4 linked regions of the Saccharomyces cerevisiae S288C genome follow. Each later gene encodes a partner of the first gene's protein in a complex. Each region holds a gene or a part of one and is shown in the gene's direction. Other genes may lie near its edges.

The links.
Region 2: the proteins of HHT1 (region 1) and SPP1 are in contact, whole or in part, in a crystal structure (PDB 6J2P), measured with the Saccharomyces cerevisiae proteins. Residues at the interface, in NP_009564.1 of Saccharomyces cerevisiae: Ala2 (codon at 1,597), Arg3 (codon at 1,600), Thr4 (codon at 1,603), Lys5 (codon at 1,606), Gln6 (codon at 1,609), Thr7 (codon at 1,612), Ala8 (codon at 1,615); in NP_015187.1 of Saccharomyces cerevisiae: Tyr24 (codon at 3,412), Asp31 (codon at 3,433), Gly33 (codon at 3,439), Glu34 (codon at 3,442), Leu35 (codon at 3,445), Met36 (codon at 3,448), Val37 (codon at 3,451), Gly38 (codon at 3,454), Cys39 (codon at 3,457), Asp40 (codon at 3,460), Asp43 (codon at 3,469), Asp44 (codon at 3,472), Trp45 (codon at 3,475), Phe48 (codon at 3,484), Glu55 (codon at 3,505), Lys58 (codon at 3,514), Val61 (codon at 3,523), Phe62 (codon at 3,526), Ser63 (codon at 3,529), Phe64 (codon at 3,532).
Region 3: the proteins of HHT1 (region 1) and YNG1 are in contact, whole or in part, in an NMR structure (PDB 2JMJ), measured with the Saccharomyces cerevisiae proteins. Residues at the interface, in NP_009564.1 of Saccharomyces cerevisiae: Ala2 (codon at 1,597), Arg3 (codon at 1,600), Thr4 (codon at 1,603), Lys5 (codon at 1,606), Gln6 (codon at 1,609), Thr7 (codon at 1,612), Ala8 (codon at 1,615), Arg9 (codon at 1,618); in NP_014707.1 of Saccharomyces cerevisiae: Tyr157 (codon at 2,912), Ser164 (codon at 2,933), Gly166 (codon at 2,939), Pro167 (codon at 2,942), Met168 (codon at 2,945), Val169 (codon at 2,948), Ala170 (codon at 2,951), Asp172 (codon at 2,957), Glu179 (codon at 2,978), Trp180 (codon at 2,981), Tyr183 (codon at 2,990), Leu188 (codon at 3,005), Lys189 (codon at 3,008), Gln190 (codon at 3,011), Ala191 (codon at 3,014), Gly194 (codon at 3,023), Lys195 (codon at 3,026), Trp196 (codon at 3,029).
Region 4: the proteins of HHT1 (region 1) and HST2 are in contact, whole or in part, in a crystal structure (PDB 7F4E), measured with the Saccharomyces cerevisiae proteins. Residues at the interface, in NP_009564.1 of Saccharomyces cerevisiae: Thr7 (codon at 1,612), Ala8 (codon at 1,615), Arg9 (codon at 1,618), Lys10 (codon at 1,621), Ser11 (codon at 1,624), Thr12 (codon at 1,627), Gly13 (codon at 1,630), Gly14 (codon at 1,633), Lys15 (codon at 1,636); in NP_015310.1 of Saccharomyces cerevisiae: Phe67 (codon at 3,198), Gln115 (codon at 3,342), Ile117 (codon at 3,348), His135 (codon at 3,402), Ile181 (codon at 3,540), Val182 (codon at 3,543), Phe183 (codon at 3,546), Phe184 (codon at 3,549), Gly185 (codon at 3,552), Glu186 (codon at 3,555), Asp187 (codon at 3,558), Leu188 (codon at 3,561), Ser193 (codon at 3,576), Ala227 (codon at 3,678), Val228 (codon at 3,681), Tyr229 (codon at 3,684), Pro230 (codon at 3,687), Glu236 (codon at 3,705).

The regions. Positions count from the first base shown.
Region 1 is NC_001134.8:254,738-259,795, forward strand, and holds HHT1 (histone H3), read left to right. Parts: upstream 1-1,593; coding exon 1,594-2,004; downstream 2,005-5,058. Other genes in the region: HHF1 (histone H4), read right to left, coding at 636-947; inorganic diphosphatase IPP1, read right to left, coding at 2,375-3,238. UniProt on the Saccharomyces cerevisiae protein: Core component of nucleosome. Nucleosomes wrap and compact DNA into chromatin, limiting DNA accessibility to the cellular machineries which require DNA as a template.
Region 2 is NC_001148.4:289,715-295,769, reverse strand, and holds SPP1 (Spp1p), read left to right. Parts: upstream 1-3,342; coding exon 3,343-4,404; downstream 4,405-6,055. Other genes in the region: protein phosphatase regulator GIP3, read left to right, coding at 1-2,953; UME1 (Ume1p), read left to right, coding at 4,719-6,055. UniProt on the Saccharomyces cerevisiae protein: Component of the Set1C/COMPASS complex that specifically mono-, di- and trimethylates histone H3 to form H3K4me1/2/3, which subsequently plays a role in telomere length maintenance and transcription elongation regulation.
Region 3 is NC_001147.6:443,806-449,181, reverse strand, and holds YNG1 (Yng1p), read left to right. Parts: upstream 1-2,443; coding exon 2,444-3,103; downstream 3,104-5,376. Other genes in the region: ubiquinol--cytochrome-c reductase catalytic subunit CYT1, read right to left, coding at 814-1,743; 60S ribosomal protein uL3 RPL3, read right to left, coding at 3,333-4,496. UniProt on the Saccharomyces cerevisiae protein: Histone-binding component of the NuA3a histone acetyltransferase complex. Targets the NuA3a HAT complex via histone H3K4me3 to facilitate transcription initiation at promoter regions.
Region 4 is NC_001148.4:523,855-529,882, reverse strand, and holds HST2 (histone deacetylase HST2), read left to right. Parts: upstream 1-2,999; coding exon 3,000-4,073; downstream 4,074-6,028. Other genes in the region: mRNA-binding protein RRP12, read right to left, coding at 1-160; mitochondrial 37S ribosomal protein bS16m MRPS16, read left to right, coding at 533-898; CIP1 (Cip1p), read right to left, coding at 1,191-2,336; SWI1 (Swi1p), read right to left, coding at 4,925-6,028. UniProt on the Saccharomyces cerevisiae protein: NAD-dependent histone deacetylase that is involved in nuclear silencing events. Derepresses subtelomeric silencing and increases repression in nucleolar (rDNA) silencing. Its function is negatively regulated by active nuclear export.

The DNA.
Region 1 (5,058 bases):
TGGGCTTACAATTGCCGGCCATCAGTATATGGAGTATCAATGTTCCTTTTGATCGCCAACAAATACTACCTTTTATCCTGCTCTTCCTGCTCTCAGATATTAATGCCGAATTGTTTCATCTTGTCTGTGTAGAAGACCACACACGAAAATCCTGTGATTTTTCATTTTACTTATCATTAATCGAATGTATATCTATTTAATCTGCTTTTCTTGTCTAATAAATATATATGTAAAGTACGCTTTTTGTTGAAATTTTTTAAACCTTTGTTTATTTTTTTTTCTTCATTCCGTAACTCTTCTACCTTCTTTATTTACTTTCTAAAATCCAAATACAAAACATAAAAATAAATAAACACAGAGTAAATTCCCAAATTATTCCATCATTAAAAAATACGAGGCGCGTGTAAGTTACAGACAAGCGATCCCTATTCCATGCAAGTTCGGTAAGTAGCAGAAATAATCAAACTGTTTAAACCCAATTAAAATTAAATTAAATACCCTTTATATGTTTATAATTGTACATATTTCTCCTAAACCCGCTATAATACACTCATATTTGTAGAAGAAAAACCGGGCAGTTGAATACGAATCCCAAATATTTGCTTGTTGTTACCGTTTTCTTAGAATTAGCTAAATTAACCACCGAAACCGTATAAGGTTCTACCTTGTCTCTTCAAAGCATAAACAACATCCAAAGAAGTAACAGTCTTTCTCTTGGCGTGTTCGGTGTAGGTAACAGAGTCTCTGATGACGGATTCCAAGAAGGATTTCAAGACAGCTCTGACTTCTTCGTAGATCAAACCAGAAATACGCTTGACACCACCTCTTCTAGCTAATCTTCTGATAGCTGGCTTAGTAATACCTTGGATGTTATCTCTTAGAATCTTTCTGTGACGCTTGGCACCACCTTTACCTAGACCTTTACCACCTTTACCTCTACCGGACATATTTTACTATATTATATTTGTTGCTTGTTTTTGTTTGTTGCTTTAGTACTATAGAGTACAATAATGCGACGGAAACCATCATATAGAAAAAATATCTCGGTATTTATAGGAAAAAGAATTAGACCTTTTCCACAACCAATTTATCCATCAAATTGGTCTTTACCCAATGAATGGGGAAGGGGGGGTGGCAATTTACCACCGTATTCGCGGGCATTTGCTAAAGTAAACAACTTCGGTTTTTACCACTAACCATTATGGGGAGAAGCGCTCGGAACAGTTTTACTATGTGAAGATGCGAAGTTTTCAGAACGCGGTTTCCAAATTCGGCGGGGAGATACAAAAAAGATTTTTGCTCTCGTTCTCACATTTTCGCATTGTCCCATACATTATCGTTCTCACAATTTCTCACATTTCCTTGCTCTGCACCTTTGCGATCCTGGCCGTAATATCTCTCCTTGACTTTTAGCGTGGAAGATAACGAAATGCCCGGGCGATTTTTCTTTTTGGTACCCTCCACGGCTCCTTGTTGAAATACATATATAAAAGACTGTGTATTCTTCGGGATACATCTCTTTCCTCAACCTTTTATATTCTTTCTTTCTAGTTAATAAGAAAAACATCTAACATAAATATATAAACGCAAACAATGGCCAGAACAAAGCAAACAGCAAGAAAGTCCACTGGTGGTAAGGCCCCAAGAAAGCAATTAGCTTCTAAGGCTGCCAGAAAATCCGCCCCATCTACCGGTGGTGTTAAGAAGCCTCACAGATATAAGCCAGGTACTGTTGCTTTGAGAGAAATCAGAAGATTCCAAAAATCTACTGAACTGTTGATCAGAAAGTTGCCTTTCCAAAGATTGGTCAGAGAAATCGCTCAAGATTTCAAGACCGACTTGAGATTTCAATCTTCTGCCATCGGTGCCTTGCAAGAATCTGTCGAAGCCTACTTAGTCTCTTTATTTGAAGATACCAACTTGGCTGCCATTCACGCCAAGCGTGTCACTATCCAAAAGAAGGATATCAAGTTGGCTAGAAGATTAAGAGGTGAAAGATCATAGTTTGTTGATTGTCATCAGTTTTAGTAAAAAACGAACAAAAACACAATAAAATATAAATCAATATATTTAGGTTTACTGGGTTCTTTAACAGTTGTATAATAGTTATTTTTTATTACAAAAATATAGGTTTTAATAAAAAAAAATAGGGTTCTATTTGTTTTACATTTATTGATTTGTTTTTCCTGGCGATACCCTCGAAAAAAGCCAGGCCTTGTAGGAGGCAAGATTTATGGCTTTCCATGTGGTTAAAGAAAAATTGCAGCAGGAAGATATTCATTCATGAGTCAGTTATATAATCGATATATAGCTACATATTAAACAACTTGAAGCCGCATACGTGGTAGGTGTCTCATTTTCAATTCAAAATATTTTAAACAGAACCGGAGATGAAGAACCACTTGTCAATAGACTTGTCAATTGGAGCATCTGCCTTTGGAGAAGCTGGTGGGATGGCATCAGAGGCAGCCTTGGAGTAGGTTGGGGTGTCAGGCAAAGTAACATTGGTCAAATCAATACCCTTGCTGTCAGAAGACTTACCAGCAATTAATTGTTTCCAGGAGTCATGTGTTTCCTTGATGATATCCAAAGCGTACTTCTTGTTCTTAGCTTCACCGGAGAAGGCAAATTGGTTTTCTGGCTTACCATCTGGGATTTTGTAAATTCTGAACCATTCGTTAGTAGCCCTCAACAGACCTGGGAAGTATTTCTCAACATCCTCAATGTCGTTCAATTTTGGGGCTAATGGATCGTTAATATCAATGGCAATAACTTTCCAATCGGTCTCACCTTCATCCAATAAAGCCATGATACCTAGAGCCTTAACTTGCTTGACTTGACCAGTGTAAGCAATAGTTTCACCAATTTCCAACACATCAATTGGATCGTTGTCACCAACTGCCTTAGTTTCTGGGTGGCTTACGTTTGGGTCTTCCCAAGTTTGTGGGAAAGCACCATAGTTGTGAATGTAACCATGGTGAGGGAAACAGTTTCTAACAAATCTCAACTTGCCCTTCTTGGTGTCTTGGATGATTGGGTTCAAAGTTTCTTCCTTGGTGATTTCTAACTTGGCGTTGGTCCAACGTGGAATTTCAACAACCATGTTGAAAATGTTGTTTTCCTTGTCAGCGTACAAGGGAATGTCGTGGAAGGCAGAAACTGGCTTACCATCCTTTTCGATATAAACTTTGTATTCCAAGGTGTTCTTGGCACCAATTTGTCTGGTAGTGTAGGTCATTAGTAAATTGCGCGGCGGGATATCCTGTTCTATAGACCTAAGGGACAACAAATCAAAATAGATGATTAAGAAAGTAAGTATTCAAAAACAAGTTGTAAATGAACTAACCTTCCTAACTTCGACGCGACCTTAAAACGTCGAAAAAAAACGAGAAAAAGTCATCATGAGACTATCGTATCTAATGACTGTGGCTTCTCCCAACAACCTTAGCGTCTGCGATGACGATATTTTGAAGAACAGTCAAATCCGTTTGAATAGTGCGCCACACAGGGATAATAATAGCACATTGGCATCTCCTTCTGTGAATGAAACACTTCTACCTGGGCTTCAAAGTCCCGCAACCTTTTAGTTACATAAAATTCGGCGGCTAAATCATGATATTATATTGATGGGTAATGTAGCGTTCAGTAAAACGGTTCCTATGTATTACTATCACGTGGGTGGGGAAGACCACATTCTTAGAGAAGAGTAATCATTTTAGCAGATTATTTTTACCTTTTTCAACTCATGAACTCATGTTCAAAGGTACAATATATTACCCTTTCTTCAAAGTATCCGAATGATTTGAACCGCACTCTGAGGGAGCCATCAAATTCTATTGAGCGACTTCGAATCGAACAATCCAATTAAATCAGCCTTTAGCGCCATATTTCTCCTTGTATCCATTGTTTACTTCTCCCTTGTATCTTGTATATGAGAATTATGGGAATAAGATAATTGTTGGGATTCCATTGTTTTCAAAGGCTGTAATATTAGGTACACAGATTATACTAGAAGTTCTTTTCGAGGATATAGGAATCCACAAAAGGAAATCGATAGTTATACATAATAATATTATTGTATCTTACTTCCTTTTATATGTTGTCACTCATTATTGTGTCGTGCATTCCATTAGATTGGATGACTGTTTCTCAATCTTTATGCCATCCTCTTACACCGCATGTGATATAATAGTAACATGAGTGCTGCGAAATAGATGATATTAAAATTTCATTCCAACAAAGTTCCATATATATCCATATATATATATATATTTCACGAGGATAATGAGTTAAAATACTATGTAAAGGTATTGTGGTTCATTTTTCTTTTATCAATTTTTATCCAAGTTTTTCTGATCTATAACATGTCCAATACACTTTTTCGAACTATAACCGCCAACAAATTTATCTTATAGACGAGAAACACTTTTATGATATCGATGTTCTACACCTACTGCCGATAACACCGTGTTTTCACTATTATAGCATATACCATTTTTGTAACCAATGTGTTGTTGTAATTCTCCGCAAGGCATATCCCAGATATTCTTATATGGCCCATTTCCACTTCGTTGAAGCCTCACATCAAAAGAGCAATCTTGAGATAATTTCAAAACCACACACATCGCTGCAGTTTCATAATATCTGTCATCACTGATGCAATAATTAAGTGACGAAATTATATCATTATTAACAGCTGTATTATTATTATAATCAAGACAAGCTGAATTTGATGCAAATATATATTCCCATTCAGTGCCGTTTCTTTCGAATTTATAGAAATCACTTCTTTGTAGGTAATTGTTCTGGCTTACTTTGAGCTTATTCATGTTAAAGTAATTGTTGGAATAAAAATCCACTATCGTCTATCAACTAATAGTTATATTATCAATATATTATCATATACGGTGTTAAGATGATGACATAAGTTATGAGAAGCTGTCATCGAAGTTAGAGGAAGCTGAAGTGCAAGGATTGATAATGTAATAGGATAATGAAACATATAAAACGGAATGAGGAATAATCGCAATATTAGTATGTAGAAATATAGATTCCATT
Region 2 (6,055 bases), on another chromosome or scaffold:
ATCCGATCCTCCCCAACAACTTCCTTCAAGAACCCCAAAAAAGGGAAACATCCTTATCCCTGATGACATGATAAGCGAGGTTCCTTCTATTTCCGTGGGTATTTCCAGTAGCAACCAATCGGCCAAGTCAACCAATTCCAACATTAAGGGACCGTTGTACACTAAGAAGTCTAAAGAATATATACTCGCCCTGGAAAATCAAAAGTTGGCTTTAAGGGAGGCTGCTAAGCATCAGCAAGAAGCTCATTTTGCTGCTAATAGAATAGCCTTTGAAGTAGCCAATTTTAAGACTGCTTCGGATGCAGGCGGTAAGCTTACTGAAAAGTCATCAGAAGGCACCATTACGAAGCAAAGAGAAGAGGTGTCACCTCCAAATGTTGAAGCTGATCGGGAGCTTGAGAATAATAAACTTGCAGAAAACCTCTCAAAAGCCGGCATTGATAAGCCCATTCATATGCATGAGCACTATTTCAAGGAACCTGATCAAGATAAGTACCAAGACGGTCATTCTATTGAAAATAACGAAGTTACGCTGGATGTTATTTACACAAGATGCTGCCATTTAAGGGAAATTTTACCCATTCCGTCTACCCTAAGACAAGTAAAGGACAAGACAGCTCCCTTGCAAATATTGAAGTTTTTGAACCCTAAGCCTACCTTGATCGATATTCTTTCCTTTTGTGATTTCATCACCATTGCTCCCATTCACACGATTGTTTTCGACAATGTAGCTTTAAACCAGGATATGTTCAGAATAATTATTTCTGCTTTGGTAAACTCCACAGTTTTGGACAAATTGAGTTTAAGAAATGTACGAATCGACCAAGATGGATGGAAATTACTATGTAAGTTCCTTTTGCTAAACAAATCACTGAACAAGCTCGACATTTCCCAAACGAAAATCAAATCTGACCTTGCTGAATCACTATATCGCCATAACATGGATTGGAACTTGTTTACTGACGTCTTGTCTCAGAGATCTCACAAACCTATAGAAGAATTGTTATTCAATGGTATTCAATTTAGCAAAATTCCTTACTCATGCTTTGCACGTTTACTGACATCCTTTGCTACCCAAAAAAACTTTCCAGAATCGGGCATCAGGCTTGGTTTAGCAGGTGCCACTACTTCCAATATCTCTCAGGATTGTCTGAAATTTATCTTCAATTGGATGTCTCAATATAACGTCCAGGGTGTGGATCTAGCGTTTAATGATCTGTCCACTATGATTAAGCCAATGGTTGGTAAACTATCTGCTCTATCATATGATAACTTAAGATATTTCATTTTGAACAGCACTAATATTTCGACTTCTTATGATTTAGCTTTGCTCTTGAAATATCTTTCTAAGTTGCCTAACTTGATTTTTTTGGATTTGAGTAATTTGTCGCAATGCTTTCCTGACATTTTACCCTACATGTACAAGTATTTACCAAGATTTCCGAACCTGAAGAGGATACATTTGGATAGCAATAATTTGACATTAAAGGAACTAGCTGTCGTTTGTAATATTTTGATTAAGTGCAAATCGCTCTCGCATGTGTCAATGACTAATCAAAACGTTGAAAACTTCTATCTAATGAACGGCACAGATTCTCCCGTTCAACAAACTAACACAGACGGCGACTTGGATAGTTCGAGCACATTGGACGTTAAGGGCCAATTTGCTAAAAATAGTTTTTCATCCACACTTTACGCATTTGCTAGAGACTCTCCAAACTTGATTGGTTTAGATTTTGACTATGATTTGATATCAGAAGAGATTCAATCAAGAATAGCACTGTGCTTGATGAGAAATATGAAACGGACCATGGATTCGACTTTCCAGTTAGATGAATTGGATTCGCAAGATGATTTGCTATTCGATGGCTCTTTAGTAACTATGACCGCTGAAAGTGTTTTAGAAAAACTGAACTTGTTAAGCGATAAGAGTACAAAGGTCAAAAAAGACACCACGAAGAGATATTTGCTGAAAAAATATATTGAAAAGTTCCATATCTTGCACCATAATGTTCAGCATACAATAGATACTATGTTCGAAAAAAGGAAATCAGGTGAATTGCCATTGCAAGAAAAAGAAAACCTTGTAAGATTACTCCTTTTGGAACAAAACTTATGCAATATACTAGAATTGTTTTCGCATAATCCGAATCTGAATGATGTCCTTGGATCCAGCAGGGATGATTCGAAGGAAAGTGTTGACTCCAGCGAAGATTCAAAATTACCAGCATTGAAGCACGTTGAATCCGGATACCATGTTCCCGAAGAAAAAATACAACCTGAGAATGATGTAATTACAGCAAGACCACATTTAATGGCCACCGATTCTGGTAAAACTATTGACGTTTTCACAGGCAAACCATTGGTGTTCAAGCATACATCATCTAGTACTTCTGTAGGTTGTAAAAAGCAGGAAGAAGAAGAAGGTGAACTACATAAATGGGGTTTCTTCGTTCAGCAGCAGAGGTCTTTATACCCTGAAAATGAATCAACAAGGCAGACACCTTTTGCATCAGGTGATACGCCTATCAACACAGAAACAGCTGGTAAGTCAACTTCATCTCCTTCAGTTTCAACTTCTAACAATGAAACTGCTACCACTAGTTTATTTAGCCCAGCTAATCCTAAGATTTTACCAAAAATTCCATCCGGTGCTGTCTTAAGATCGGCAATCATGAAGGCTAAAGGTATTGATTCTATCGATGATTTGATTCAGAACGTTAACTCCAACAACATAGAATTGGAGAACATTTATGGTGAATCCATTCAGAATAGCGCTTCGACATTTACACCAGGCGTGGATTCTGATGTATCTGCGCCCAATACCGATAAAGGATCCGTAGAAACATTGCCTGCAGTCTCAACTGACGACCCAAATTGTGAAGTCAAAGTCACTGCTACCTATGACAAACTATTAAATAATTTGTCGATGGAGAGGTCAATCAGACTTTGAAGATACATGAATCCTTCTCTTCACTGATGGATCCATTTTCTTCTTCCTTTTTTTCACTGCATAAAACTTTTTTTATCAACCTTTCATATTTTCCATATTTATTTATATATACCGCCAGTAAATTTGGCGATATTCGATAGACTTAACAGATAAACTTTTTAAGATGAATTAAAGCACAGAGGATTAAGCTTACCTCTTTAGAATCAATTGATATGTTCGGCTACATATTAGACACTGCATATAACCCAAGGCGGGTAAAATATGAACAATTTCAATTGGGCTTTGTAAATGCTTACTTTTAAATGTAAACGAAGCTCATCAGAAGAAAAAAAACAAGAGATTTGGAAAAGGCTACTTCGACCTCAATAATTTCTCAGCCTATCTTTCTAATGTCATTACCACAATGGTGTCCACCGCATTCCACCTTAAAAAGAAATCCAACTACAGGAGAGGACGTATACTGCATATGTAAAAGGCCAGACTATGGGGAGCTGATGGTGGGATGTGATGGTTGTGATGACTGGTTTCATTTCACCTGCCTTCATATTCCTGAGCAGTTTAAGGACCTGGTGTTCTCTTTTTATTGTCCTTACTGTCAAGCGGGGATTACTGGTAAGAATAAGGACGCCATAATCAATGGTGAAGGGAGCTTGCCAAAAACCTTATGGAAAAGAAAATGTAGGATAAGTGATTGCTACAAACCATGTTTACAGGATAGTAAATACTGTTCTGAGGAACATGGTAGAGAATTTGTGAATGATATTTGGTCGCGATTGAAAACAGATGAGGATAGAGCAGTCGTCAAGAAAATGGTCGAACAAACAGGACACATAGATAAATTCAAGAAATTTGGACAACTGGATTTCATTGATAACAATATAGTTGTAAAAACAGATGACGAAAAGGAAATATTCGATCAAATTGTTGTACGAGACATGACGTTAAAAACTCTTGAAGATGATCTGCAAGAGGTTCAAGAGATATCGCTACCATTATTCAAAAAAAAGCTAGAACTTTTGGAAGTATATTTGGGATGGTTAGACAACGTATATACCGAAATGCGCAAGCTGGACGATGATGCTGCAAGCCATGTGGAATGTGGTAAAGAAGATTCCAAGGGGACAAAAAGGAAGAAGAAGAAAAATAGCAGCAGGAGTAGGGCTAGGAAAAATATATGTGGCTATTGTTCTACATACGAGCGAATACCCTGCTCTGTGGAAGAATTTGTCAGAGATTTTGGAAGTAATGAGGAAGCCACCAAAATACATGAGGTATGCACGAAGTGGAAGTGTAACAGACATTTGGATTGGGTGTCTACTAATCAGGAACAATACCTCCAGCAGATTGACTCTTTAGAATCTATGCAAGAAAGGTTGCAACATCTGATACAGGCCAGGAAAAAGCAACTAAATATACAATACTATGAGGAAATTTTAAGAAGAGGTTTGTAACGGCGTTGGAGCCTAATCAAATATCAGTTTCTACATATATATATACTTCGTAGTGATGATATATCAATTGGAGCGTCCTTGCATAGGCAACGCCTATTTGGATAGTCTTCAATTTCGACCCCATTTCACGTGAATAAAGCGGAGCTATCTCTGTTTTGCAAGGGTTCGGCCGATTTTGCTGCGAAATTTTAATAAGCGCATATTGATTTTTTCAAGCAATACTTTGTATATTCATGATCGAATGAATGAAAAAGCACCACTCCTCAGCCGCATACCTTCAGTATCGTATTTATTTCCTTCTTTAATCACTTAAAATGAGCACTTTAGATATTGCAGAAGACAACAAAATAAAAAATGAAGAATTCAAAATTTGGAAAAAATCAATACCCTCATTATACCAACATATTTCAAGTTTGAAGCCTATCTTTGGCTCAGGCGTTGACGAATCTCCATCGACACTTAGGAGTATAGTTTTCACTAACGATAGCTCATGTAATAAATCCAAAGGTGTTTTGAGCGTACCACTTTTATATTCTCAAGGGAGTGAAATCTTTGAGGTGGATTGTATAGTGCCACTCGGACTTCATTACAAAAAACCTGAAAGCATTTCAGAACCGTTAGTACAACCGGATTATACCATGGAATCTCAAAAGGTGGAGCAGACTGTTTTGATTCCAAAATGGGAATTTAAAGGTGAAACGATTGCAAAGATGATTTACGTGGATAACAGCGAAATAAATGTAAAGGTGATAGCCCTTTCTACCAATGGTTCTTTGGCATGGTTCAGAGAAGGTGTCAAATCGCCCGTTTACACAATGATGGAGCCATCCACTTCTCTAAGTTCAGCATCGTCCGGAAATCAAAATAAACCCTGTGTTGATTTTGCAATTTCTAACGATTCAAAAACCTTAACAGTAACTAAGGAAAAACATCTTGATAATGAAAACGCTACAATAAAATTGATAGACAACTCAGGTAAAATAGGAGAAGTGCTTCGTACAATACCTGTTCCTGGCATAAAGAATATTCAAGAAATCAAGTTTTTGAATAATCAAATATTCGCCACTTGTTCTGATGACGGTATCATAAGGTTTTGGGGTAATGAGATAGGCAAAAAGCCCCTTTGGATTCTAAACGATTCTTTGGACGGCAAAACAACTTGTTTTGCTGCATCACCGTTTGTTGATACATTATTTATGACGGGAACTAGTGGTGGGGCTCTCAAGGTTTGGGATATACGTGCAGTTATCGCTTTAGGGGATGCTGATGCTGAGTTAAATATCAACCAAGGACATAATAAAGTCAATGAACTATTCAAAGTTCATCACTTTTATAGCGAGCAAGTGTCCAAAATAGAGTTTTCTTCCATTTCGCCTATGGAAGTGGTTACAATTGGAGGGTTAGGTAATGTTTACCACTGGAATTTCGAACCTGTTTTTGCCATTTATAACGAGATACATGAGGACTTTCAAGGCATAATATCTGACGAATTGGAGGCCGAAAGCATGGCATTTTATCACACTGAGGGCTGCAGAAGAGAAATAGGAGAAAATAATAAGGTTAATACCGTTGCTTATCACAAATACATTGAGGATCTAGTTGCTACAGTTGATAGTGACGGGTTGTTAACTGTATATAAGCCGTTTACTGG
Region 3 (5,376 bases), on another chromosome or scaffold:
CTGGCTGTGCCTTGATTGTATTAATTGATGGAACAGCGAGAGAAATTTTAGAGGTATGAAACCAGACAATAGAACGGGACTAATATGGAAAAAAACCGATTTGAGGGATTTCCTATTAGGGAAAAATAAGTGTTTGCCTCTTTAAGGAAAAAATACTAGCGCGTTACGCGGCGACTTCAAAGATCGACCATAACGGTCTCGCTCGCATCCTCAACGATTGTGTCATATTATTAATGGAACGAAAGAGAAGGTGGATGGCCAAAGCCTTGGAACAGTGGTAGATTTACACTAAGTTTACTTTCTTAATAGATAATAGGAATATATATGTACATATATAAATAAAAAATAAATAAAATAAATATTATAGAAGAACACCAAGACGCCGGTGTTGGGCATCCAAACAAAATATTGTAAAGTTTCTTTCTTGCAATCTTCTACCTTTATTTTTATTTTTTATTGCTGTTAGGTTGTTAACATTTAAACATCTTTTTTTTTTTTTTTTTTTTTTTTTATATTATTATTCGTGATATTTCGCTTGCAGCAGTATCTCAGTACATGAAGGAGACACTATTGAAGTGAGACGTTGTTTACAAGCAGTGAAAAAATAAATAGGGTGGCCGAAAAAAAAGAAACGAAACCAGAGAAATAAAAAGGAAAAGTAGGTAAATTTTTGTTACCTTTCACTCTCTTTCTGAAAACAATTCAGTATGCTCTACTAATATTCTTTTTTTTCATTTCTTTTATTATGTTTTTTGTTTATTGGTTTTTTTTTTTCCGTAATTTAAATAATAGTGGTTTTCATTTTTTTGTCAACTACTTTCTTGGTTTTGGTGGATTGAAAACGAATTTTCTGGTTTTGATACCGGCCCATTTGAACTTCTTCACCCAGATAGATAGCAAATACAAAGATGATAAGATTATCACCGTTTTCAAACCCAATCTCTTTCTTTCGTCATGTTCAGGTTCGGCACACCAGTTTAAAAAGGTGGTAACGTCCTTTGCCATTTGAGATGTCGTTGCGGGGGTACCATCTTCGTACTCAACCATGTCATCAAACAAGACTCTTGCCATTGCAATGGAACCACCTGGGAAGTAAGGGTTATAATTAGAACCTGGTGGTAAAGCCACACCAGCAGGAGGTTCATCAGGATAACCGGTCAACAAAGAGAAAATGTAGTCACAACCACCGTGTCTAGCTTTCACGATCAAAGATAGATCAGGTGGCAAGGCACCTTGATTGGCAGCTCTTGCAGCCTGTTCGTTTGGGTATGGGCCAGGGATGTAATCGGACAACTTACCTGGTCTCTTTTTAGGGTTACCTTGTTCATCAGGTTCGTCATCGTATTCAAATTCTTCGGCCATATTACGAACCTCTTCGTTGGTATGAGAAACACCAACCAAAGTTCTCCAAGCAACTCTGTCAAGAGAATGGCAGGCGGCACAAACTTCACGGTAAACCTGGTAACCTCTTCTAATGGATGCATGATCAAATGTTTCAAAAGGCCCATTGTGGGACCAAGCATATGCTGGGGCGTGCAATCCGTGTTCAGCTGCGGTCATAGCTTCGGCAGTTAAGGAGTCTGCATAGAGTAAAGTCGATGCGGTGATACCGGCGGCAGCAACACCCGCTGTAACGAGCTTTTGAGTAAGCTTGCCAGATTTACTAGCAGCACCTGTTGCGGTAGAGTAGAAACTTTTCGAGAGGGTCCTTTGAGCCCAACGTTTAGATAGATTTGAAAACATTGTCAAATTAGTTATAACTTCCGCTTCTGAGAAAAAATAGTAGATGATATAGTGTAATGAAAATGCAAATTGTAAAATATTATTTTTCAGAACTAGTTCAAACTAATCAATTGAAGATATCACAAATGTGGGGAAATTCAATGAATGCTTTTTATCAAACTGGGGGAGTACTGGAAAAAATATTTAAGAAAAATAGTGTTACACTAATATAGAATATGGATTCTTTTTCTTTTTCTTTCTTGTCCTTAATATTTGAAGATAAAGTACAAAAATGTATAAAATGTTGCTTAACAAAGAAAGATTGTGAAACCGATGATTAATAAGAAAACGAATGGCCTCTACTAAAAGCTTAGATAGTCTATGGATCCAGTTGGACGTCTAACCTCGTTATTATTCAAATTGTTTATATACTAGAAAGAGCCCCCTTAGTATCTACGCAGGGTAAAGGCGCTCGACCCTCTCCACCAACCAAATCCTCGCATTTTTTGGCCGCCGGAAATACCGGCCGCCCATTACCAAGAAATCCGAGAAAAAAAAAATCTTCAGTCACGTGGCGCTCCGTCTTATTTCCGTCCTTATACAAACATTTGGGATTGGCTCACAGAACATCACAACAGCATCTGTGAAAGTCTTAATAGAACTGAAATGTATGATGCGCTAGCACATCCGCTTTACAAGGAAGTTTTTTTCGTCTACAGCAATGGAACATCTCGCCAACGAAAACTCGGATTCGGATATCAGGTACAGTTTCCTTAGCACTTTGGATCATTTACCATGTGAACTAATAAGATCTCTTCGACTGATGCAAACAATCGACTTATTCAAGAATGAAGAGGATGAGCCTGGTATGGAAAGGGCCTGTAGGGATCTGTTGCTGGTAGCGACTTATATTAATGATCTGGTCGATGATCAGATTCATTTCTTAAAGCAGCATAAGAAGGAACTAGAGATACAGAAGTCAGTGACAAAAAATTTCAACTCTTCGCTAGAGAATATCAAGTCGAAGTTGACGTTAGAAGAACCAGGAGCATATAAGGAGCCAAAACTGCTTTTAAAGATTAACTTGAAAAAGGCTAAATCGAGGGAAAGAAAAGAGAGCATAACTAGCCCCACAATTGGGATTAACCAGGGTGATGTAACAGAGGGTAATAATAATCAAGAGGAGGTTTATTGTTTCTGTAGGAATGTATCTTATGGGCCAATGGTGGCTTGTGATAATCCGGCTTGTCCCTTCGAGTGGTTCCATTATGGTTGCGTAGGCCTGAAACAAGCTCCCAAGGGCAAATGGTATTGTAGCAAAGATTGTAAGGAAATAGCAAACCAGAGGTCCAAGTCAAAACGGCAAAAAAGAAGAAAGTAAGCAATATAATGGACGGGTTTACATGTTTAAATATATGTACATGTATGTAGTCTTATACTTTCAAAACATAATCGCATGCGGGTCATCAAAATAAACCTCCATTTTGGACTTGGGAAAAAGAAAATTTGATTTAAACTGTTGTATGTAGCTAACAATACATAAAACTATTTAAATAAAATAGGAATAAGAATGCTCAATTAAAAAATGATTTATTTTCTAACAAAACTTCTTACAAGTCCTTCTTCAAAGTACCCATGAAAGCATGCTTTTCAGCTGGGGTTTGGAATCTACCCTTACCGAACTTAGAAGCAGTGTCAATCCACTTCAAGCTGACTTCTTCCAAAGCCTTTCTAGAAGTGTTGGTGTACAAAGACTTTCTCAAAGTAACAATTCTCTTTCTGTTACCTGGGATACAACCTTTAACCATGATGAAGTCGTTCTTAATTTCACCGTAGTGGACGAAACCACCCATTGGGGTAATAGTCTTCTTGGTTCTGTCGAAGCTGGTAGCACCGTTAGCTTCATCATCACCCTTACCGACTCTGTAAATCTTGTGGTTAATGGAGGTTCTGGAATGGTAACCTCTTTGACCAGCTCTGGCAACACTCCACATAACGTGGGCTGGATGCCAAGCACCAATACAAGCAACCTTTCTTAGACCTCTGTGAGTCTTTCTTGGCAATTTCTTAGTACCCCATCTGTGGGTAACACCTTCGAAACCGTGACCCTTGGTGACAGCAATAGCGTCAATCATTTCGTTTTGTTCAAAAACGCTGTCGACAGCAACAGTCTTTTCGAAATGTTCACGAGCCCAGTCAACCTTTTCAGAGATGGAACCACCGTTCAATTGGATTTCAGCCAAATGAGCCTTCTTTTGAGCCAATGGAGTCTTTCTGATTTGAGTGTGGACCAAAACTCTGACGACGGAAGCGTACTTCTTGATTCTAGCCAATTCTCTTTCAATACCAGCACCATCTTGAGCGTACTTGGCAGAGTATTTGGTGAAAGCCTTCTTCTTAGACTTGTACCAGTTCTTGTAGAATCTTCTCTTGACTTCGTCAGACAAATGTTCAGCCCAGACGGTGGTCAAAGATCTCAAACCTCTTGGGGTTTCGACGTAACCGACAACACCAACAACGACAACTGGTGGAGTGTCAACAACGGTGACAGCTTCGACAACTTCACGCTTGTGGAACTTAGAACCTGGTCTGTCCAAATCTCTGACAATGGTGGTCATACCAGCCTTGTAACCCAAGAAGGAAGTTAGAGCAACTGGCTTGGATCTGTCATCCTTTGGAAAAGCCTTAACTCTAGCTCTGATGGAGGCAGCTCTCTTTCTTGGCAAGAAACCTAAATGACCGTGACGTGGTGCTTCGTACTTTCTGTGAGACATGATTGATTGTTGTAGTAACTGTGTTGTTCTAGAGATGACAAAACCGAAATGAAATAATGAGTAAAGAAAGATGAGGATTGACAAAGACAACTAAATAAATCGTATTTTATATATCCAGGAAGCACGAAAGAGACAAATGAAAAATTTTTTTCATGGACGATGATCACTGAAAAAAAAAAAAAAAAAATGGAAAACAGTTGTGCGTCGCTTCTTGAAAAACGTACAAAACGATTACTATATTACTGTCCGGCCGGTTAACCTAAAAAAGAATATTGCCATTCATTCCAGTGTGCGTGAGTAGAGTTTAGTTTTTGCAACCAATGACTGCGAACAGGCAGCAAGTTTGCGAGTGCTTTCTTTCCCCCTATAAAGCTGTCTGAAATGCGTTAATCCCTCCACCTTTCCTCTTGCTGTTGCATTACCACTGAATTTAATAAATTGTTTGCATCATTTCTGTGTTGAGGACTTAACTTCCCGGCTTAGCAGCTGGTTTGTTCGCAATTATCGAGCAATTCTTGAACGTCTACTAAGGTTTGCACATTTCGTATACTTACTTTAGAATGATAACGTAAGTGGCTGATACGAGCGGCACTAACAGAATATACGATAAACTTCATTCACAAAAAAAAGCAGCAAGTGAAAAAGTGCTATTCTTGTTTGCCTTTGCCTACCTGTACGTAATGGCAGCAGACACGGCATCGATAAAATAGAAAAAGCCGGAAAAATACCAACATCCGTATCAAAGTATGTAGTGTCATTCACGTTTTCTGGGCGTTCTGGTGCATGCTCCCCGCATAAGATTACTTCTAGTTTTTCCGTCCTCCGGATTTTCTCTCGGGCTCCGATTTGCTGTCTCGGTCTAGTGTGCAGAGTTTAGAAA
Region 4 (6,028 bases), on another chromosome or scaffold:
TTGAAACATCATTTGTAGCTTGACCTGCAATATTTTCCTCAACGGCAGTTAATATTATAGCAATATGCTTTTGATTCTCCAATTTAGAGTTTACTTGGGAACGAATTTTAGCCAGCTTGTCCTCCAGCTCTAAAAGAAAAGCAACTTTGTCTTGATCCATGATGAACTCTGAGATTTGCTGATTCAATTCGCGAGATGCTGTTCAAAATCTAGAAATTACCTGGTTGAATTCAATCAGTAAAAAAATAAGTTGAACCTTTTCAAACTAAAACTCTTCTCTGAGAGAATTAACTGCGACCGAGGAAGTTCTAATTGCGCGATGAGATGAGATGATATAATTAAAATTTTAAACACTGCAGCGAAAAGAAAAATTTTCACTAATTATGATCATCTATCATTCAGGACGGAAAAAATGAAATAGTACACCAAGAACAGTTGTAAGAAAAAAGGAAGGGGAATATATACACGACTTAAGTAACGGAGGAGTTCTGACTGGTATTCCGTTAAGAAATTGTAATAGAGTTTATCAAGTATGACCTGTGGTCTAGTACGAATAAGGTTAGCTAGATTTGGAAGAAAAAATAGTCCGGTCTATAATATCGTAGTGGCTAATTCCCGTAAGGCGAGGGATGCTAAACCGATCGAGGTACTAGGAACCTACGTGCCGGTACCCAGCCCAGTGACCAAGAGAGAATTGAAGAGGGGCGTTGTACCTATTAAAGACGTGAAGCTTGATTTTGATAGAACAAAATATTGGATTGGTGTGGGAGCACAACCTAGCGAAACAGTTACTAAACTATTACGAAAGGCTGGTATATTAAATGATGCATGGGCCACTAGTAAGAACAGCAATGTGAATAGGAAAGTTGTATTTGAAAGAATGGAAACATTGGAGTGAAAAAGATCGGAAAAAAAAAAAAAAAGAAAAAGAAAGGAAAGCAAAGGAACGTGTTTTAATTGATGCGAGGTGTATATGTATATGTTGTATATATGTTTTACTTGGCGCTTTTATATCTATCAGACTTGTAAATAATACATCTATGGCCAACCAGAAAATGGAGAATGAGACTTGAAATGGAATAAATTAAATTCTTAATCGAATGTGAAGAAAAGAGAAAGTGTAATAGAATTTCATTAAGATAGTGTCATTATAGGTCATGTATTGTGTGCTCCTGACTGTTCGGCACTATTTACCTTTTAAGACGCAATAAATCTCTTTTTAGCTTCAATGATTCATTTGGTAAAATAGAGGATTCTTCAGTGGACACGTTTGCTGTAGGTAAACGAGTACTAGCTAAGGGGGACGATATGATATTGCTACGTTGTCTCGATAGCAGAGCTATGTTAAAATTAAATGCGGAATCTGTTGTAGGCGTTGGCGTGAGTAAAGAAAAGGCATTACTGTTGCTAACACTATTGTTAGAATTTGTGCGGGCTAAGATAGGTTGTGGTTGTAATTCTGAAATATACTGGGACGAGCCATTTCTATTCTTCATTGAGACGTTGGATCTTTGTAAGGAATACCAGTTCAACGTGTTGGTCAGGCTGGTAGTAGAGCTTACATTCGGATTCGAGTTTGTGTTTGATAAGGGGATTGGATCGGTAATATCTGCGTTAACAAACGGGGAGGGAACTCTAAGCATTTCAGAAAACTGTGGTGGGGGTGGTGGGGGTAAAGAAGTTAAAGAAGTGTTACGAGAAAGATAGCCGTCTTTTCTGACCTCTTGCAACAAGCGCTGTCTTACCAATGTTAAAAGCCAGCTATTTCTGTCACATCCGATATCCAATTGTTGAAGCTCAGATTGCTGTATAGCCGCTTTGGCAACTCTATTCAATATTCCTGAGGGAGGGTTTGTAGTATCAAACGGAGTTATCGTAGGATCGCTGCACGTGTTTTGGTAAACTTCTAATAGAAGGCCGACAAACTGCGGTGTGAACGAAGTGAATTGAGCGTTATTGTTGTAAAAGGTATGTTGTTTGAAATTCTGAGCGAAATCGGAAACGGAACTCGCCAGCGAAGAGGCGCTATTCTGTCTGGTTCTATTAGCATTGAGGTAAGGTGGAAAATACGAGGCATCCGAGCTTTTCGCCTGATTGGAGCTGCTATTATTTATAGGAGTCATTACCGGAGTGAAAACGGGAGTGGACAAGTTTCTGTCAAATGCAATCATGTCATCGTAATCACAATTTAACAACGGCTGAGGGTCCTGAGTTTGATGTTGAGCTTCTGGTTGGATGGGCAACGCGTCTTCGGGCTTGCAATTCTTGTCCTTATTTTCTTGAGATCGCCTAGAAGAGCCGGCGTGTAATCTCTTGTGCAATCTTTCCAGCAGCATTCTATATCCTATTAAACTGGTTCTAGTTCGCTTTACTAAGAAGGGAATTACAGGTTGAAGCTAGGGGGAGGAAAATACACGCTTCTATAATAGCATTCTTATATATGTTTATCTACAAGGGAAATAGAGCTATACGAAAAAAATAGAAACAGAGACAGCAACAGGAAACAGAAACAGAAACAAAAACAGAACTTTGTTTAAAGTTCGGAGTTCAAGCGTCATTTCTACACTAGTTCTTGATGAGACCTAATGAGTTTGACGTGCCTATCCAGATTGGGTGACGCGTAAAGGAGTATACCTCCTTTTTTCGCTTCACTTGAGCTTAAAATGACCATTTCTATTTCCCAAAGTGGGCATATGTCTTCCCCCTGCGCGAGTTCCGGAGTGGCAAAAAAATGTAGTAAGAAGCCGCCCTTCCCGCGCCGTTTTCCTTACGGAGGCGTCTCCCGCCCTACGCAGAGGCCCCCTGCCTGCGTGCTTTCTGCCGTCCAGCTATGGCCCAGCATTAACTCTGTTAGCTTCGCCGATCTTAAGAATAAGGAATAGACCACATTCTCTGCATGTGTTTCCATCTTTCGTAACTGTCTCTGTATCAGTAAATGTCGCTATCTGTGCCCGTCACTGAGCTACCAACCAGACGTACCGCGATCTCTCCGTGTTTCGATGTCTGTTTCTACCGCCTCTACAGAGATGTCGGTTAGGAAGATCGCTGCTCATATGAAAAGCAACCCCAACGCTAAAGTAATCTTTATGGTGGGTGCCGGGATATCCACTTCTTGTGGGATACCAGACTTCCGATCTCCGGGAACTGGCCTGTACCATAACTTGGCCAGGTTGAAGTTGCCGTACCCTGAAGCAGTGTTCGATGTCGATTTTTTCCAATCGGATCCTTTGCCATTTTACACTTTGGCTAAAGAGTTGTATCCCGGAAATTTCAGACCTTCTAAGTTTCACTATCTTTTGAAATTGTTTCAAGACAAAGACGTTTTGAAGAGAGTATATACCCAGAATATAGACACTTTAGAAAGACAGGCCGGTGTTAAGGATGATCTGATCATCGAGGCCCATGGCAGTTTTGCTCACTGTCATTGTATCGGATGTGGTAAAGTTTATCCCCCACAGGTTTTCAAATCCAAGCTGGCAGAGCATCCTATAAAGGATTTTGTCAAGTGTGATGTGTGCGGTGAACTGGTAAAGCCGGCAATAGTTTTTTTTGGCGAAGATCTACCGGATTCCTTTTCGGAAACTTGGTTAAACGATTCAGAGTGGCTTCGTGAAAAAATCACGACATCTGGAAAACATCCTCAGCAGCCTCTTGTCATCGTCGTTGGCACCTCACTAGCCGTTTATCCCTTTGCGTCTCTGCCCGAAGAAATTCCTCGAAAGGTAAAAAGAGTTCTGTGCAATTTGGAAACGGTGGGCGATTTTAAAGCTAACAAGAGGCCTACAGATTTAATAGTTCATCAGTACTCGGATGAGTTTGCCGAGCAACTCGTTGAAGAATTAGGTTGGCAAGAAGATTTCGAAAAGATACTTACGGCCCAAGGTGGAATGGGGGATAACTCTAAAGAGCAATTACTTGAAATTGTACATGATTTAGAGAATTTGAGTTTGGATCAATCTGAACATGAGAGTGCAGACAAGAAGGATAAGAAGCTACAGCGTCTCAATGGCCATGACAGCGATGAAGATGGAGCAAGCAACTCCTCTTCTTCACAAAAAGCCGCTAAAGAATAATGTGTTGGTTGCAATGTTTTCCGTCCCCCTTTTTTTTTCCTTATTCATCTAGCATGCGCGGCAATTTGATAGTTTAAAAATAAAAGAGACGCGTAATTGAGCTTGGCTTTCCTACGCGTTTGACATTGCATACATATTCTTTCCCCCCACCCCCTTATAGATATCGAAAAATTTGTAAGCTCTGACGTGCAATTCTACTTTAGCCAATTAGGTTTGATAAAAAATACGGCGCCAGCTGACTTTTTTCTCTTTCTGGATAAGTACTCAGAATATATAGATAAGTAGAATGGGTTCCCGAACCGTCAATGCAGCCAATTCATCTCAATACTGCGCCGAACAGCTTCTGAAGCGATCTTGACTTTGTGGGCAGCTTGAAATTTTCTTGGATGATTCTGTCCTATTTGAGCTTTACCTCCTCCCATCGAAAGGGCGAAGTCACACCGTTTTCAAAGGTGGAGTGTTACCCCACCCCCCACGCTGACTCCACATCTGACTCTCTACCGTTTTATTATAGCGAACGTTAACTCTGAATGTATGTGTGGTGTGTATGAATTGTATTTACTGCCTGAAATGGAGTCATAAACTCCTTTATACAATTTCAAGGAATTTTTGTAGCCGCGACGGGACCAGTGGGAAGTTACTAAAACCATTGTTTAGTTGAGCCGCCCAAGATGTGACTTCATGGCAGCTATACGTTCATTTGGGCTTTTGGCACTAAAGGCGCTCTTCCGACTGTATTGTTTCCATAAGGTCTATTATATTAGTTACAACATTTTATATAGGTTTATAAAAAGAAAATAGTGCGCAAGGAAGAAATAAGCAGTAAAAGAATATTGTTTAAAAAAATCGCATCATTCCAAATTGGTTAGGATATCATTTTTTAAATTGTAAAGTAATTGATACTGGTTTATTATTTGAATATCAACTGATGGATTAGTGAATAACTGGAAAATTTCTAAATCCGTGGGGAACAAATTTGGAATCGATGCTATTTTTTTTAATATTTCCGGGTCGTTGTTTAGGCAGTTTTCAAAACAAATACTTTTTTCAACCAAACATTTGATTAACTGAACACAGGATATGTTAATTGACGGTAGGAGCACCTTTGAATAATTTTGTTGCTGTAACAAAGTATTCTTACTTGTGGAATTGTTAATATTCAATATTATCTCACTTAACTTCAATAGTCCAGATCCAATATTTTCTTCAGAGCTCAACCACACAAATGGTAAATTCTTGTTGAAATTGAAGCTAGAATCTTTGTTGCCGTTATTGTTACTGTTACTGTCTGAATTATTCTCACTGATTTCAAATACTTCATTGGATAACGGCAATATTTTTTGTACAATGACTAAGATGCTAGTTAGACTCTGAGAAATTACCGGAGAAAATTGGTCGATCAGCAAACTTGGATCAGCTGATTGCGATAACACTTGCTGCAGCGGTATGGCAGAAAATAAAAACGAAACCACATCATTTAGCAAGTTGTGCCTATTGTTATTATTTTTATTGTTATCATTGTATAAATTCAAAAGTCTTCGTAACAACTTTTTGTCCTTGTGGTTGTTGTTACTGTTGCGATCATAGAGGTTGTTACCTGTGTTTTTGTTCAGAAGGATTGATTTGAAATAATTTAGGTTCGGTTTTTCCAATGAAAATAATTTGGCCAAAATATCTACACCGAAAGTTTGATATTTTCCCCATTGCAACTGGAATTCGTTGAAGGTCAAAGATTCAGAGCCAAATGATGACGAAGACGCCATTGGATTGAGTTTTGGTTGACCAAAACTTATGACTAGAATAAGAATTAACAAGCAATCAATGGACGAAGCGATCTCTAATAAATGAGAAATATTTGATAAAACAATAACCAAATCCTTCTTGAAATTTAGTATTTTCCTATTGCATGTAAAGTTTTCTGGATGGATTAAGACTAACCAAAGTAGATCAGATAT